4 linked regions of the Canis lupus familiaris genome follow. The protein of the gene in region 2 interacts with the protein of the main gene of each other region in a pairwise test. Links are inferred from orthologs where the notes say so. Each region holds a gene or a part of one and is shown on either strand. Other genes may lie near its edges.

The links.
Region 1: the proteins of FUNDC1 (region 2) and EHHADH interact in binary tests that used the Homo sapiens proteins (3 or more experiments, as listed by UniProt). The two-hybrid records come from large-scale screens. The link is inferred for Canis lupus familiaris from reciprocal best matches to the Homo sapiens genes FUNDC1 and EHHADH.
Region 3: the proteins of FUNDC1 (region 2) and YES1 interact in binary tests that used the Homo sapiens proteins (3 or more experiments, as listed by UniProt). The two-hybrid records come from large-scale screens. The link is inferred for Canis lupus familiaris from reciprocal best matches to the Homo sapiens genes FUNDC1 and YES1.
Region 4: the proteins of FUNDC1 (region 2) and TUFM interact in binary tests that used the Homo sapiens proteins (3 or more experiments, as listed by UniProt). The two-hybrid records come from large-scale screens. The link is inferred for Canis lupus familiaris from reciprocal best matches to the Homo sapiens genes FUNDC1 and TUFM.

The regions. Positions count from the first base shown.
Region 1 is NC_049255.1:18,237,378-18,241,499, forward strand, and holds the start of EHHADH (peroxisomal bifunctional enzyme), read right to left. Parts: upstream 2,801-4,122; 5' UTR 2,727-2,800; coding exon 2,653-2,726; intron 1-2,652. UniProt on the Homo sapiens protein: Peroxisomal trifunctional enzyme possessing 2-enoyl-CoA hydratase, 3-hydroxyacyl-CoA dehydrogenase, and delta 3, delta 2-enoyl-CoA isomerase activities. Catalyzes two of the four reactions of the long chain fatty acids peroxisomal beta-oxidation pathway.
Region 2 is NC_049260.1:38,703,805-38,708,003, forward strand, and holds the start of FUNDC1 (FUN14 domain-containing protein 1), read right to left. Parts: upstream 2,801-4,199; 5' UTR 2,670-2,800; coding exon 2,642-2,669; intron 1,942-2,641; coding exon 1,785-1,941; intron 1-1,784. UniProt on the Homo sapiens protein: Integral mitochondrial outer-membrane protein that mediates the formation of mitochondria-associated endoplasmic reticulum membranes (MAMs).
Region 3 is NC_049228.1:67,651,986-67,656,102, forward strand, and holds the start of YES1 (tyrosine-protein kinase Yes), read right to left. Parts: upstream 2,801-4,117; 5' UTR 2,602-2,800; intron 1-2,601. UniProt on the Homo sapiens protein: Non-receptor protein tyrosine kinase that is involved in the regulation of cell growth and survival, apoptosis, cell-cell adhesion, cytoskeleton remodeling, and differentiation.
Region 4 is NC_049227.1:18,524,284-18,528,246, reverse strand, and holds the start of TUFM (elongation factor Tu, mitochondrial), read left to right. Parts: upstream 1-1,163; 5' UTR 1,164-1,318; coding exon 1,319-1,361; intron 1,362-1,464; coding exon 1,465-1,659; intron 1,660-2,114; coding exon 2,115-2,281; intron 2,282-2,535; coding exon 2,536-2,640; intron 2,641-2,730; coding exon 2,731-2,895; intron 2,896-3,047; coding exon 3,048-3,180; intron 3,181-3,261; coding exon 3,262-3,366; intron 3,367-3,478; coding exon 3,479-3,630; intron 3,631-3,737; coding exon 3,738-3,857; intron 3,858-3,963. UniProt on the Homo sapiens protein: GTP hydrolase that promotes the GTP-dependent binding of aminoacyl-tRNA to the A-site of ribosomes during protein biosynthesis. Also plays a role in the regulation of autophagy and innate immunity.

The DNA.
Region 1 (4,122 bases), on a different chromosome or scaffold from region 2:
CGTCTCTCTCTCTCTCTCTCTGTGTGTGTGTGTGTTTCTCATGGATAAATAAATAAAATCTTTACAAAAAAATAAAATCTTAAGAAAGGAAAGAAAAAAATAGGCAACCTGTTAATTTTGATGAACATGGAGGGATATGTATGAGGTAAGTATAACTTCAGAATGGTGCCTGGCTGGCTCAGTCAGTAAACAGGTGACTCTTGACCTTGTGATCGTAAGTTCAAAACTCACATTGGGTGTAGAGATTATAAAAAACGCAATCTTTGGGCAGCCCCAGTGGCTCAGCAGTTTAGTGCCACCTTCAGCCCAGGGCCTGATCCTGGAGACCCGGGATCCAGTCCCATGTCGGGCTCCCTGCATGGAACCTGCTTCTCCCTCTGCCTGCGTCTCTGCCTCTCTCTCTCTCTCTCTCTCTCTGTGTGTGTGTGTGTTTCTCATGGATAAATAAATAAAATCTTTACAAAAAAATAAAATCTTAAGAAAGGAAAGAAAAAAATAGGCAACCTGTTAATTTTGATGAACATGGAGGGATACGTATGAGGTAAATATAACTTCAGAATGGTGCCTGGCTGGCTCAGTCAGTAAAGCAGGTGACTCTTGACCTTGTGATCGTAAGTTCAAAACTCACATTGGGTGTAGAGATTATAAAAAACGCAATCTTTGGGCAGCCCCAGTGGCTCAGCAGTTTAGTGCCACCTTCAGCCCAGGGTGTGATCCTGGAGACCCGGGATCGAGTCCCATGTTGGGCTCCCTGCATGGAGCCTGCTTCTCCCTCTACCTGTGTCTCTGCCTCTCTCTCTCTCTCTGTGTGTGTGTCTCTCATGAATAAATAAATAAAATCTTTTTTAAAAATAAAATCTTAAAAAAAACCCTGCAATCTTTAAAAATGTATTTATATGACTTGAGAAGAAGATAGAAGAAAGAATGGGAAAGCATTCCCAAGTAGAGAAAACTCGATGAAGCTGAAATAAACCCCAGGTGGCAGCAGGGCCTGCTGCATGGGTTTGCCATGATGGTAGCTAACATCTGTGCAATGCCAGTTTATGATCTCTAGTGGAGGTAGACTTCACCACAATGTTATGATATGAGGTAGATACAAACATTTCTGTTGCATGGGGGGTGGGGCGGAGTAAATATGAGAAATGCTTAAAATTCCTATGAGAAAATATTTCTAGTTATGGGTATTAGACTGTGAAGCCTTTTTACCAAGTTAATGTCGGGCATGGTTTCTGGTTATGAGCAGAGGCTGAGGCAGAGTCCTAGTATTTAGTATCTCTAACTAAAATACAGACAAGTCCCAAAGGGATATGTAATGATATTATGTTTTTCTTCATCAAAACCAAAACAATGGATATTTTGCTTTCTTTTTCTGAGACTGGCAAGAAAGTGGACATATCCTTGTGAGATTTTATTCTTGCACTTTTTTGGTATTATTAAGTGCAATAGCTTATATTAAAAATATGAATTGTTATATTAATACTCATGATAAAATCAAATCTGATGACACTAAGATAAAAATTAGCAGGTCTCCTCATTGCTGTCTCTTTTTTGCTCCAGCGGTATGTGATAAAAATGTTGATCAAAGGTCTTTCTTCCCTGTTTTATATATTTCTCGTAAATTATAATTTCTGCTAATCCTACTCTCTGGGGATGGGTGGCTCTTTCCTAGGCTGATGATCACTATCCTTTTTACAAAGACATGCCAAGAACCAAACCTATATAATTAAACATTTTTAAAATTAGGGACGCCTGGGTGGCTCAGCGGTTGAGCATGTGCCTTTGGCCCAGGGCCTGATCCTGGAGACCCAGGATTGAGTCCCGCGTTGGGCTCCCTGCATGGGGCCTGCTTCTCCCTCTGCCTGTGTCTCTGCCTCTCTCTCCGTGTGTGTGTGTCTCTCATGAATAAATAAATAAATCTTAAAAAAAAAAAAAATTGAAACCGGAAAAACAACCAGTCTGGAAAGCACTGCTGTTAAGTGCACGGAACAAATCCGTGTGCGGTTTAACAAGGAAGGTGCTCCACGGTGAAATAAAAGAAGATAAACTGCACAGTCGTTTTTCAGGAAATGCTACTTAGTGGGCTTCTCCAAACCAACGTATCCTCCACTGAAGCACCAACGCCTCCGAGTCTAGAACAGACCAGGAGAAGAACTTTGCATTTCTGCACCATGCCGCAATTCGCCTGTCCTCACTGCCTGGGCATTAATGAGGGGCATTTACTTATTTACAAGTGGGAATTTCTAGATCATTCGGCCACACATTAGGGTGGCCCGGACTCGAGTCTGGGAAGTGAGGAGGGATCAAGGTCCCGCTGGCTCTGTGCCTTTGGAGTCGAGCGCGCCCGAGAAGTCAGCGCTGCCCGCCAGCCCACGGGTGGAGCACGCAGCCGGCGCCGACGGCCCGGGTTCGAGCCCAGCTGCCCCACGTCCCCGCTCTCCTGCCTCTGAGCCTCAGCTGCCTTTCCACACCAGCGAAACACGGATCGGAGTTCGCCGCGAACGCTAACCGAGCTGACCCAAGCTCGAAGCCTGGCAGGCGCCGCGGTTCCATCCGTGCCCGTGGCTTCCGGCGTCTACACCCGCCGCGGAGTCGAGCCCCGCCGGGAGGGCTGCCCGCCGGGCCGGGCCGGGCTGGGGGCGCCCGAGCCGTTACCTGATGGCGTTGACCGGCGGGTTTCGGAGGCGGATCAGCGCCAGGCAGTTGCGCAGCCGCGTGTACTCGGCCATGGCTCCCGGGCGCGGAGGTCGCAGGCGCCTCCGGCGCTGGGCGGGCGATGCCGCCTCCCCCGCGGCCCCCGCTGCCCGCCCGCCGGCCCGAGGAGGGGCGCCCGCTGGGCCAATGCGAGCCCGGCGCCGCCCCCGCGCCCGCCCCCCGCGCCCGCCCCCGCGCCCGCCCCCGCGCCCGCCCGCGGACACCCGGCACCGCCCCCCCTCCTCCGGGACCCCAGCCCCGCGCTCCGCAGACGCTCGTGATCTCTTCCTCGGCCTGGGCTCCCGTCACCGCGCAGATCAGAGAGGCCCGCGGGCAGTGGTGCGCCTGGCAGCAAGTCCAAGGTGGCAACCCCTGGCCCAGGGCGGCTGCCCTCCCGGGAGCCTCCTGGCTTCACTAAGTCGGTGGAGCTGTCCTCGGTTTTCAGCTTTATGATCCTTCTTAACAGGGATAGATACCTGGAGTCATGACAATTAAGGTGACCTGACACACGCTTGGAACATTACACACATGATGAATTAAACCCAAGTCGGTGTGGTGCCAACCACTTAACATAACAGTAGTTTCATGTCTTAACTATAACGGCGCAGCCTGGTGAAATATATGGGTGTCTTGTCTGCCCTAACCTTCTTTTTTCTTTTTAAAAAGATTTCCCCCAATTTTGTTGAGATATAATCATATCTCATTATATATATGTTGTATACATGTATAAATTTTGTTGAGATATATCTCATTATATATGTTATATATATAATGACATACATCATTATATAAGTCAAAGTTATACAGCATAATGATTTGACTCACATAGATCGGGAAATGATTGCTGCAATAAGTTTAGTTAACATCCAGCATCTCATATATAGATAGAAAAATAGACATATAGAAAAAAAAAACCCTCTCTTTTCTTCTTCTGTCATTTCTAAGGATTGTGATTTCTAATACTTTATTCATCCATGAATTGAGCCCCCAATGTGGAGGCCGAGAAAAATTAAGGCCATTCCACCTCAAGTTTAGCATTAGCACAAGTACAGCCATCTTAGGCCCCTGGGAATAAGACCTGAACTTTACAGGAAAAACTGCAGAATGTCCTCGGCAGGAAATCCCATATGGGAGACAACAGAGCTCAGAATTGCCCTCAGCAGGAATCCCATATCATATCTTGAGAAACTCCCCCACCCTTTCCCCCATATAGGAAAAAAAAAATTCCTCCACCCCTTCTGAAAATCCCCTAGACCAGCCCATAAAAAACTCAGCTGTAACCCACTTCGGGGTCCAAGCCTCTGCTCTGCTCTGCAGAGTATACTTGGACCCAAGCTCGAGCTTGTAAATAAACCCTCGCGTGTTTGCATCAGTGTTGGCTCCTTGGTGGTTTCTCGGATTCGCAATTTTGGGCACAACACCACTCACTAT
Region 2 (4,199 bases):
AATCTCTTTAGCCTCCCATGCATATCCTGAACCTGATATGCTTCTCCTTAATGCATTCCACAATATTATTACAGAGTTCAGAGTCTGCAATGTTAACTGGTTAGGTTAATGCCTATTAACCATTCCTCCTTAACACATGCCACGATAGTACATCAGTTTTCTACCTTAAGAAAATTGCAGAAATTTACTGCACTGAGTCTAAAGTCATTGCAACAAACCACCCGTGTAATATTGGAGTCCTATTACACAGCTCCTGAGCCGACGACACCTGGCTGTAACCCAAACATACGTATTACTATAAAGACCACAGCTGCCAGTAGGGAAGTCAGCAACAAAGGCTCTGATGGGGGGGGGGAGCAGCAGCCAAGTCACAAGTACATCCCAGAGACCATGTCTCACAAGCATGTCTATCCTTTGCTTAACAGCATGAGCCATCAAAATTAAACTACTAACTTCCCCTGCTCTGTCTCTAGGCTTTCCAAGCAAACTTCTGCCAATTATGGGGCTTCTCACCAAGTCTGGCCTACAAGGAGAATGCACACAATGTGATAATTCTATCGCTTAATTATTCTTTTAGTGTCTTTTAAGATGGGGCTTTAGGCCCAGACTCCCATTAACCAATCAGCCATGGCACCAACGTGTGAGCTTATGTGAGCAGAGCACCAGACTCCATTATGGAGGATCAAGGTACAAACTATCTGTGGAGGATCAACTGAATAACCAGGGCCCTGACCAGGCATCTCTCTTCTAGTTGCAGGTCTTTTCATAAGCAGCATTAATAAGCACACATCATGAAGAAATACTGTACCTTTGCATCACAGAATCTTCACAATGCATGTTTCTACCATAAAATAGCATTTACAAAAAGGCATAAAGGAATGAACCTTGTTCTAAGGTACATATAAAACACAAATCAAAAAGCTTAATGCTTATCAAGTTTAAATATGTAAATATTTAATGTAAGATAAATTTAACCTAGAACTAAGGGAGAAAAATGATTACTCACAAGCTAAGCACTCCCACAAACGTCAAAAATTCTCCACGATCATGAACATTTTCAAGATAAAGGGCCATACTTGTTTGACCCTTGTTATTTGGCTAATCTTTTATTCCAAGAATAACAACTTGATCTACAGTAGCAATCATGTCATCATGCAGCCCAAAACATTAATTGGTTAGTTAGGTTAATGCTTAACTGCTTCTCCTTAATGCATTCCACAATATTATTACAGAGTAAGCAATTGGTCCTTCAATTCCAACTCTTCTTCAAAGTATTATAATAATCCAAATTAGTCCACAAAAATCAACAGAACCATTTGATTCACAATAATTTTCATTGAGAATTTTACACGGCTTTCTACAGAGCTCTCAATCCTAGAGACCAATTCTACTGTGGGAGTCCTCAAAGGTCTTTCCAGTTGTTAGCATTGCACAAGTAAAAATTATTTACATATAATTAGCCCTCAGATGGATCTTCCTTTTTACCCACTCTCACTGAATCAGATACACTACATTTGCTAAATGTGAGAAGGTGGAAAGTACGTAAAGAATCAAAGGAAGGGAGAGGGACCAGGGGAACAAGTGGTGGGCGTGGGGAAGCCAATCACCAAAACCACTGTCTCCAGACTGTAGATCACACCAATCATATCACAGAGAAGAGCCTCAAGGTAGAGCTCTTCTGGGATTAACAGTGTAAAACCACTGAATGCGCTCAGTAACTGGCCTGTTTACGGAAGGGCAGCAGTAAGGCTGCCAATGAAATCTAATGAAAAAGATGTTCTCACCAGCCAGTCACTCCACCCATTACAATCTGGGTGGCTACCGAGTATTTTTCAACCATAGGTCCGGAACTGTGGCCAAACACTCGATTCCACCAATGGTGTCTTCTTGCATACTCAGTTAAATCCAACACTTCATAAGACTCGTCATCGCTTTCATACTCTTCAAAATACAAAATGGAAAAAATAAATTTAGAGTTAACCAAAAGTCAGAAAGGTCCTTACATTTTTTAAAAAATCTGTCATTAACTGTTACTTTCTTACAGCTAAAAATGCCCAGATGGAAACCTTAGGTTGTTAAACCCCACACCTGAGACTAGGGCCTCAAGAGTAAAAGGGCCTAGCATCTCCCTTCCAAAGGCCCAGGGACCGGCCTAGAGGCCGGAGCCAGAGCCACGTCAGAGTTACACAGAAGTGAGGGGTCGCCTCCCCAAATGGCAGTAAGGCCAGGTCAGACTTTCACGGCATAAACGGTCGCCCCCAAATCTCAGTCGGGTCAGGGCCCGAGCTAGAGATCCATTTTCATCAGTGGGACAAAGAGGGGGTCCTCCACTGACAGAAGCGGTTAGGGGCCTGGCAAGATGAAATTACTTCAGTAATTCATCAGAAATGCCAAAAAGCACGTCTGAAGATGGAAACGAAGGGCCAGAGGGGAAGGTAAGGCAGGAAGCAGGGCTGTGTTGGGGTCGGGGGTCGCTCTCCGCCAGAGTTCAGCCGTAAGAGGAGGGCGTCTAGTTCTAAAGGGGTGCGTCCAAAAAAGAGCCCCTGGATCCCTGGGGCAGGGGAAGAAGAGGCGCCCCCGGGGGCAAGGTCGAGAGCTGTGAGCCACGTCCGAGATACTACTTCGGGCCCCGGCCGCTCACCTTGGGGAGGGGGGTTCCGGGTCGCCATGATACCGCCGGCGGCCTGCTCTGAAGGTGGTCCCCACCCGCCCTCCTCTCCCCACTACTTTAAGAGACCTTCTAGGCCCAGGTGAAAGTCTATGGTCTCTTTCTTTCCTCCTCCCCTTTCAGGCGCGTTGTGTCGTCCCCGCCCCTCCTCTCAGCGCAGGATTTTCCGCGCAAGCGCAAGCCTCCGGGTGGGAAGCGTGGGGGAGGGAGGGGAGCTGCCGCGCGAGGGCTTGTGGGAAGTGTAGTCCGTTGCCCTCCGCAGTCCTCGCTTCTCACCCCACCCCCATCGCTCCTAGAATCTCAGTAACTATATTTTGTGATTCTGTTTTAAAGAGCCTCAAGGCTGGAGGAGAGGCGGCGTCACATGATGATATAAAGCGAAAAGCAGCTTGGCATGCTCAACACTGTACCAGAATGCAAGCGCCTGAGAAAAAAGGCTTTTAAAGGGAGATAAGAGAAACCGTGTTTCAAACCGCACTTTTTGTACGGAGGCAAGGGCACGACAACAGATGGAAAATTTTTGTAACGTGCTGCTGCTGGGAACGGGAACCTGTTTATCCGCTCCCTCTCCACATGTTTCCTGCCAGGAACCCAAGGGAAGTAGAGAAAGGCCTAGGGACTGACCTGACACGATGTTCAAGAGGACATAATTTTTTTTTTTTAGCATCATTTTTATTATTTAAGTCTGACAGAGGAACGAGGTCAGGCTCTTCACCCAGAAGCCCCACCAGATTCGAAAGCCGTGTTGATTACCAAGCAGCTAACTCAGGTTCATATAAACCGGTCCCTAAACCTGTTTCGAACTTGCAGGACCACCTGCATTTGCTGTACAATTAAAAAAAGCCCTCTCTGCACTTGTTTTAATGGAAAAACAAGGAATTCAGGTACAGGTTGTGTAGGAGCGCAGGGCAAGCTGCCCCCAAATGTACTGCGCTGGCATATTGATTATTTTGAATTGAATCAACCCAGGAAACAACCTGGTACAAGTACACTCAGATCCTCCTTTGTCCCCCACTGAAAGCAGGAAATAAATTTCCCGTGTGAAAAATGCCCTCCCTGTACTAAGTAAAAAGACGTCCTTATCACCAGAGATAGGAACTTTAAAGTGGAGAAAGCTGGAGAAATGAGCCTTGTTATTTATTTTTTTTTCCTAATCTACTACCTCACTCAGCCCAAATTCTGTTCAGAATTCCTTACTAACTAAAGCTCCCAAACCCCTATTTTCTTTGTCCTGTCAATTCCTCAGGAATTTCTTGTCTCTGTCTAAAATATATCAAAACTGCCAGCCTTGGTCATTTCTTAGGGTCTCAATTTCATTATTGGACTTCCATGCACATGTAATAAAACTTTTTTTCTTAACCTCCTGTTCACCTGTCTCCTATGAATTCAACTCCTAAACCAGCTAGAAGCAGCCTACAGGGAAAGAAGGAAATTTCTCCCTCCAGTACAGTTGCCTCACTTAAAATATTGACTTGCATAATTGCACTGAGTTTTTCGAATCCTGATGCTTTAAATGCAAGGGTTGATTTGC
Region 3 (4,117 bases), on a different chromosome or scaffold from region 2:
GTCACTAAATGTTAAGTTCTTTACCCAAGCACCTTATATAGTACATTACACAGTCTTCTTAAAAAAAAAAAAAAAAAAAAAAAAAACCATTGGAACCACCAGCAGGTTAAAACTTTGTAACCACTACAGAATCTGGGTCCCAATCACAACTTCCTCCCACCTCCCATATCTTTACTTGTACAGAAATCACTTCCTTGCAGGTTTTTTTTTTTTAATTATACTTTTATTTCCCAAGTTTGTATTCCCAGATACCAGAGCTTAGTAGTGCTTTTTGATATTAGGTGCTTTTTAAAATTGAAGTACAAATGACATACAACATCCTACGAGCTTCAACTGTACATCATAGTGATTTGATATTTTCTATATTATGAAACAATTCCCTCCTAAGTCTAATTACCACCTGTCACCATACAAAGTTATTACAAGAATATTGACTATATTCCCTATGCTGTACCTTACATTCTTCTGACCTATTTTGTAACTAAGTTTGTACCTCTTTTTAATATAATGCTAAAAGGATAAATGACAACTACACTGAACACTACATCGAGTTAAACACGTTTATAAAGAAAAATTACTCACGTTAACAAATTTACTGCCTAAAAAGATGCAAATTTGGACTTTGTATAAATAAACCTTATACCACAGGTTGGTAATATTTCACTTAATACTGCATTGTTGCTATTAGCCTGTAACATTTATTCTTTCAACATTACATATCATGAAGGAGATCTATTTGCATGGACATTGATTTTTTTTAGCTTGAGATTTTCCTGAATTAAAAAAAAAGAAAACTCCACCCATATATTAATATTATACTTCAGTCATAAGACAAATTCCACCTATCGCAGGAAGACGGGTCAAAGTCATAATTTCGCTTTCAGTAGACTAGAAAGGAGTCAATTTTGTGGTTTATGAAGTCAGCAAAAACATACTGCAAAATTAAAAGCTATTATAACGTTATGGTGGTTATACGAGAGTACATATTTTAAAAGCTTTTTTTTCTTTTATTCTGGAAACATGGATACGAATGGTCTTGTATTTAGATTCGAATCAAAGGCAAGTGTTTCGTTTTATTTTTCAATCTTAAGACCCTATGAATTGGTCAACCAGCATTCAAAATCGCCACTGAGGTTTGGGTAATGTCCAAAATTTACAATAATTAGACTTCCTTTTCTTAAATGTCAACGATGACAGTGGTCTCACATATCAGTAAAACAAAGCAGATGTATGACTGAAGTGAAATAAAACTTTCTTACAGAATGTACGAAATATATATATATATACGTGTGACGCACACAAAATCCTCGTTCTCCTACATGACACTCCTTCGTTACCTGCCCATTCAAAATGTTTTCTGTCCACCGTGAGCCACTGCCCTAGTTATTAGATTCACCAGGTACTATGCTTTAAGTACACAGTCACATGTACCCATTTAGTAGTATCTTCCTTAGTCCGTAACTTTAGACATTTACCAGGATGTTTCACAAATACTCAGAATTATCGAGATACCGTTGGCACCGCAATCCTAGAGTTATGAAGACACACGTATACCACAATCTTATGCATGTACATGTCAAATCATGTATGTGAAAGCACACCATGAAACACACGTACCTAATGGCATGAACATCAAGTTGCGATTCCACTAGAGACGTCTCGTTTCCTTAACGATTTATAGATTGCTAGACCGTGGGTTATTCCACGCCTGTTTCAACTAATCACGCAGAAAGTAATTCAACCAAATCCGAACTATGCTGTGTCCCACCCACCACAAAACAAAAATTAAAGCAGTCCCTGCCCTGGACTTATTTGCCACTCATCAGAAGGCAAAAATCAAAGCCATCCATCCCTACACCGGACTTGGTTTCCAAAGGGCTTCCGAAAACGACGCTAACCCCATGCCCAATGAAGCAAAAGCTGGAAGCGATTACCAAGAAGGAAAACACACTTTAAACCAAAATTTCCTGCACCATGTGGACAGAGAAGCGAACCCAATGGGAGGTGGAGCGGCAGAACACTGTAAGAGCGGACGCTGAATGGCATCCTTCCCAACCCCCAACCCAAAACAAAGGAAAACTTTAAACATGTTGCGGTTTTCAATCAAACCAAGCAAAGCGAGAGGCTCCCCCCCTCGCCCCCACACACGCCCACGTCCGCTCTCCCAGCACAGTTGCCACCCGGCGTCTTACCACGGGGACCCTCCGGCTCCGGGACAGAACCGGGCTGCGGCTCCCGGCCCCGCCGGCGGCCGCGGGAGCCACCAGCGACCTCGCCCCCGGGCACCGCCGGGAGGTAGCGCACCGCTCCCAGGACCTGCGGTCGGACCTGGGCGGGCCCGGGAACGACGGGACGGGGCGGAGACCGAGTCAGGGGGGCGAGCAGGTAGCGCCGGGAAGGAGACACGCCCGCCGGGCCGGCCGGGACGGGGGAGGGGAGAACTTTCTCCCCAACTTCCCGACTCCGAGCCTGCCGGGGCGGGGAGCGCCGGCGCCTCGGGGCGCGGGCGCGGGGGCGCGCGGGCGGGCGGGCGCCGGGGCCTAGCGCTGCCCGGGCCGGGGTCGGCCGCCTCCGCCCGGGGGGGCCCAGCCGGGTCCTTACCTGCCCTCCAGCCGCGCTCTCATGAGTCGCCGCTACCGCGGCCCGGGGCGGCGAGGAGGGGGCGGTGGGCGGAGGCGAGGCCCGCGGGGCCCTCTCCCTCCTCCACCTCCTCGTCCCGAGCGCCCGGCCGCAGCGACGACGGCACAGCCGCCCCGCACTCGCCGCTTCAGGAGGAGGGAATTCCCGGGCTCCCCCACCCTTCGGCCTCACTCTCCACCTCCACTCCGCGCGGCGCCCGCCCTCACTCCCGGCTCCGCCCCTCCGCGGCGGGGGCGGGGCGGGGGCGGGGGCGGGGGCGGGGGCGGGGGCGGGGGGGCGGCTACCTGCGCGCGCGGCCGGCCCGCTCACCGGAACTCACGCCGCGCCCCCCGCCTTCCGGCGCCGGCGCGCTCGGCGGCTGTGGGCCGCGGGCCGTCCCCCTCCCCCCCCCCCCGCACGCCGTCCCGGTCGGCCGCGAGTCCGGGTCACTTATCCGGACCCAACATGGCGGCGGGGTCCGGGGCGGATTCCCGAGGCGGCGCGGGCTGAGGGGGCGTGAGGAGGCGGAGCGCGGCCGCTGCGGCCGCGGACTACCGGCCCCGGGAGGTGGAGTGAGGGAGGCTCCCGCCCCCTCTTTCTGGGTTCCCTTTGCCCCGCGCCGTCGTGCCGAGGGCTTCGGGCTTTGTGTGCGTGGGGAGGACGGGCTTGAGTGCGTGCCTTCTGGGACGAGGCTTCCGCACCCCTCGTCGCTGGTGGGGAGACCTCAGCCCCGCCGCGTGAGCCCGGGGGCGCGTCACTAGGCGCTCTTCGCCGGCCTGGTCGCCGTCCAGAGACGCTCGCGTCTGGCCTCCTTCCGAGCCGGGGATCCTGTCCCAGCGCGGGAGCTTCCTGTTGACTGTTGGTCGAGCCAGCCTTGCCGGGAGGGGAACCGGAGCCGGGTTCTCCTGGCGAGCTCCGGGGAGCGGTGGCCTCGGCTGATGCCCCGGCAGCCTCCCCCGGGGGGACAGGTGTGCATACCCTGCCGGACGGCTGCGCCCCCGAAAGTGCGGCAGCCCCGGCGAGAACTCGGCTCGGGGAATCCGGGCACCTTTCCCGTGTGCTCGGCGGCCGGAGGCTGGAGGACAGGGAGAGGGTCCGGAAGGAACAGACCGAGCCCGCAGGCTCTTCTGCCGAAGCCACTGCCGCGCTGTGCGACCCGAAGCCTGACTCCCCCCTGCACTTCCTCCTCGGTGGGGCTGTCGGGACCATTCGTGTGGGTCTGTTGGTTTCCTTTGCGGTTTTCAGTGAGATTCGGAGTCCTCTTTGACAAATAAATAATACAATCGTATGTGTCAGAATTCTGGCATTCTAGGAACTTAGGAAATGAATATAAAGGTTTGGATTTTTTTCTTCTTCAGCTCACTAAAATGAAGCAAAGGGGAGCCTAGGCGTTCCCGTTGCCAAAAAGGTACCCATAGTGTGGCATGGTGCTTTAATTTGATTTAGCTACTAGAATTTCACTTCCCCTTAACTGTATTGGGGATTAAACATTTTCATG
Region 4 (3,963 bases), on a different chromosome or scaffold from region 2:
CATTTGCACAATGCCTGATACACACACAAAGCTCTAGCTCTGAGTTTTGGAGCGTGGGAAACAGCGTGTGGTATAATAAATAGTTTCCCTGTCTGTGCTCAGACCCTCCTGAATTATAATCTTCAAGGGAGGAATTAGGGGATCTATTTGAAACAAAAACCATGGGTGGAGTCTTAGGATCTGATGAGTTTGGGAAACACCATTTGGGTTAAGCACTGCCATTCTCATCCCAGGGTGATGAGATGATGGAGGTGAAAGTTAAAGGTCATTTGCGAGGTTTGCACTCACTTGTTCAGTCAACAGAAGTTTCCTGAGCGCTCACTGGGTGCCCCACCCTATGTTTGGTGCTGGGGACACTGCAGGAACAAGAAAGACTCAGGCTGCGGGTATGGGCACCTGCGGCGGGTCCCTCACCTCGGTACCATCTGCGTTAACTGGGTAGCGATCAAGGGAATTAGTCTCTGGCCTGCTGGGGGGCCCCAGGGGTGGACGGCCAAGTTGTCTCTCCCCGCAGGTTGTGAGCCCGAGGGCGGGTATTTGAGGGTCAAGGACTGTGGGGCCCGGAGGCCCCTGGGCTCATTGCTGCCTCCTGTCCAGCTCATTTCCTCTCAGGGCCAGATGTCAGAATCTCCCCACGAAGTAGATACTACTGTTCCCATTTTACAGATAAGAAAACAAAGGCTCAGCGGAGAGATGGGTCACATTTGCGCGCTACCCGCGAAAGGCTTCCAGGCCCGTGTGTCTCAGCCTGGCCGCAGGGCCTGATCCTACCTCCAGCGGCGGCTCAACGGCCGCCAGATCTCTCGCCAGACCCGCGCGGTGCGTCGGCCTCCCGGGGGCTCTGGGCCAGAACGCCCCCGAGCAGCCCGGGCCCTGGCCGCCGCCTCGGGCTCCTGGAGGCCGGCCCCCTCGCTCCCGACCCCGCCTAGCCCTACCTGACTCCCAGGCCCCGCGCAAACACAGCGCGCCGCCCCGGGAACTACAACGCCCGTGAGCCTCCGCGGCGCTGGGGAGAGACCGGACGCTCCACGTCGCCGCCAGAGACAACCGCTTTGCCCTCATCAGCACGCGAGGCCCGAGGGCGCTGCGGAAACCTCCCTCCCTCCCCGCCCTCGAGACACCGGCACCTTCCCGGCCTTGTCTTGGGTCCTACGCCCGGAAGTCGTATGATGGCCATGAAGACTGGAGGCTAGAGAGACCCAGACTTGTGCTCTGGGCCTTCACTTCCGCCGGAAGTGACCTCCAGTCCCCCGTGCCCTTCCCTTTCAGCACGCGCGGGCGCCCGGGACCCGGCACTCGGGGCTCGAGTACGACCACCATGGCGGCCACCACCCTGCTGCGCGCGACGCCCCTCTTGAGCGGTGAGGGGGCGGGGAAGGCCATGGCGGCGCGGGGCCACGTGGGGGTTGTCGCGAGCGGCCGGGATCGGACCCGCGCCCTGACTCCCAGCCTCTGCCCCGGCAGGTCTCGGCGCCGGCCCGACCTCCCTGCTGCAGGGTCTGTTGCGGCCGCTGAAGGCCCCAGCCCTGCCCCGCTTATGCCGTGGCCTGGCCGTGGAGGCCAAGAAGACCTATGTGCGCGACAAGCCCCATGTGAACGTGGGCACCATCGGCCATGTGGACCACGGCAAGACCACACTGACCGCGGCCATCACCAAGAGTAAGCGGGGATGGGTCGGGGGCGTCCGGAAGCGCCCGCCCAGCAGGAGAGACCTGGAGCTGGGGAGGTGCTGCTGGAAGTGTTGTGGCCCCAGGAGCCAGAACCCTGCGGGCAGTGGATTGCAAGATGCGGGAAACACATTTCTCCTGAACGTGAAAGATTTTGTGATGCATAAGCTGGGGAGCCGGAATGGCCTCTCTCTTGTCGTGGCCAGTACCCTGTAGGCAGAGGGTGCTTTACCCTAGAGAAGTCGCAGGGCTGGACCATGAGGCCTTGTTACATTTCCCTCTGACCCGAGTTACACCCACTGCAGGAGCTGAGGGTGTGTCATGGACACATTATTCTGGCCGACGGTCCTTTTGTATAGTAGGTGGGAGGGACTCGGTGTGGCTTAAGCCTTGCCTCCTTACCTCTGGTACTTCATCTGAGAGGCTTATTCTTCTCCTTCCCCTTAGTTTTAGCCGAGGGAGGTGGAGCCAAGTTTAAGAAATATGAAGAGATTGACAATGCCCCTGAAGAACGAGCCCGAGGAATCACAATTAACGCGGCTCACGTCGAGTACAGCACTGCTGCCCGCCACTATGCCCACACAGATTGCCCAGGTCATGCAGATTACGTTAAGGTGAGTGTTGCTGGGTACAGGGTCAGGGGCTGTCTCCCACCAGAAAAAATGTTGGACTTGTGGAGAGGTTAGGATATTCAGGGTGCATGGGTTGAGGTCCTGGATTTCTGGGCATAGCCACTCAAAGTGGGTGGTAAGGAGATAGCAGAAAAAGGTGGGCCTCCATTCCTAACTGCTGTGCTTGGTTAGACGGATTTGGAGCTGAGGTGAGGGGGTCCTTGAACTGGGCTGTTGTTTCCTCTCTTCCTACTCAGAATATGATCACAGGCACCGCCCCTCTCGATGGCTGCATCCTGGTGGTGGCGGCCAATGACGGCCCTATGCCCCAGACCCGAGAGCATCTGCTTCTGGCCAGACAGGTACTCAAGAGCCTGGGGAGGGGTGGAAAGAGAAAGAGTGGGAAATTGGGTCCATTCAGGATACTATTTCTCTCTCTTTGCCATCCACAGATTGGAGTAGAGCATGTTGTGGTGTACGTAAACAAAGCAGATGCTGTCCAAGACCCTGAGATGGTGGAGCTGGTTGAGCTGGAGATCCGGGAACTGCTCACTGAGTTTGGCTACAAAGGGGAAGAGACCCCCGTCATCATAGGCTCTGCCCTCTGTGCCCTTGAGGTGAGGGGGGGGGGGAGGGGGTCAGGCAAGGGCTGTTACTGGCATCGGATGGGGCTGGATGGGTGTCCAGAGCTTTGCTTTGAGTCTGGGGAGCATCTCTTAGTAAGAGGAACAGAATGACAATTTCAGAATCCTGTCATCTCCCCCCATAGCAACGAGACCCCGAGCTAGGCGTGAAGTCTGTGCAGAAGCTGCTGGATGCTGTGGACACTTACATCCCAGTACCCACCCGAGACCTGGAGAAGCCTTTCCTGCTGCCTGTAGAGTCCATTTACTCTATTCCTGGTGAGGACCCTGTTCACTTGCACCCTTCTCTAGCTATAGCCTGATCCAGAATACCTGATGTCCTGTCCTATTTTTTTCCAGGCCGGGGCACGGTGGTGACAGGTACACTAGAGCGTGGCATTTTGAAGAAGGGAGATGAGTGTGAGTTCCTGGGACATAGCAAGAACATTCGCACTGTGGTAACAGGTATGGGAAAGATGCCTTGGGACCCAGGGTCTGGCTCCAGGATTTCCCTTGCAGATCCTTTGTGCCTTCCCTCTGCCCTAGACCCTCCTCCCTTGTCTCGCCTCCCTCCTAGGTATTGAAATGTTCCACAAGAGTCTGGAGAGGGCAGAGGCAGGCGACAACCTGGGGGCCCTGGTCCGAGGCTTGAAGCGGGAGGACCTGAGGCGTGGCCTGGTCATGGCTAAGCCAGGATCCATCCAGCCCCACCAGAAGGTGGAGGCACAGGTGAGGGAGGGCTCCCAATGAGGATGGGCAGTGCTGAGCCAAACTGCCCCATGCAGAGGCAGTCTTTCCAACCAAGCATAGCTTCACCCTTGTTCTCTCTCTTGCAGGTTTATATCCTCAGCAAAGAAGAGGGTGGCCGCCATAAGCCTTTTGTGTCCCACTTCATGCCTGTCATGTTCTCCCTGACTTGGGACATGGCCTGTCGGGTTATCTTGCCACCAGGGAAGGTATGGTGGGTACAGGGAATGTGAAGAAGTAGAAGAGACACTCTTCGTTATCAGCTCTATCTACTCACAGTTCCAATTATGTGACAACATGGGTGACTTTTCCTTG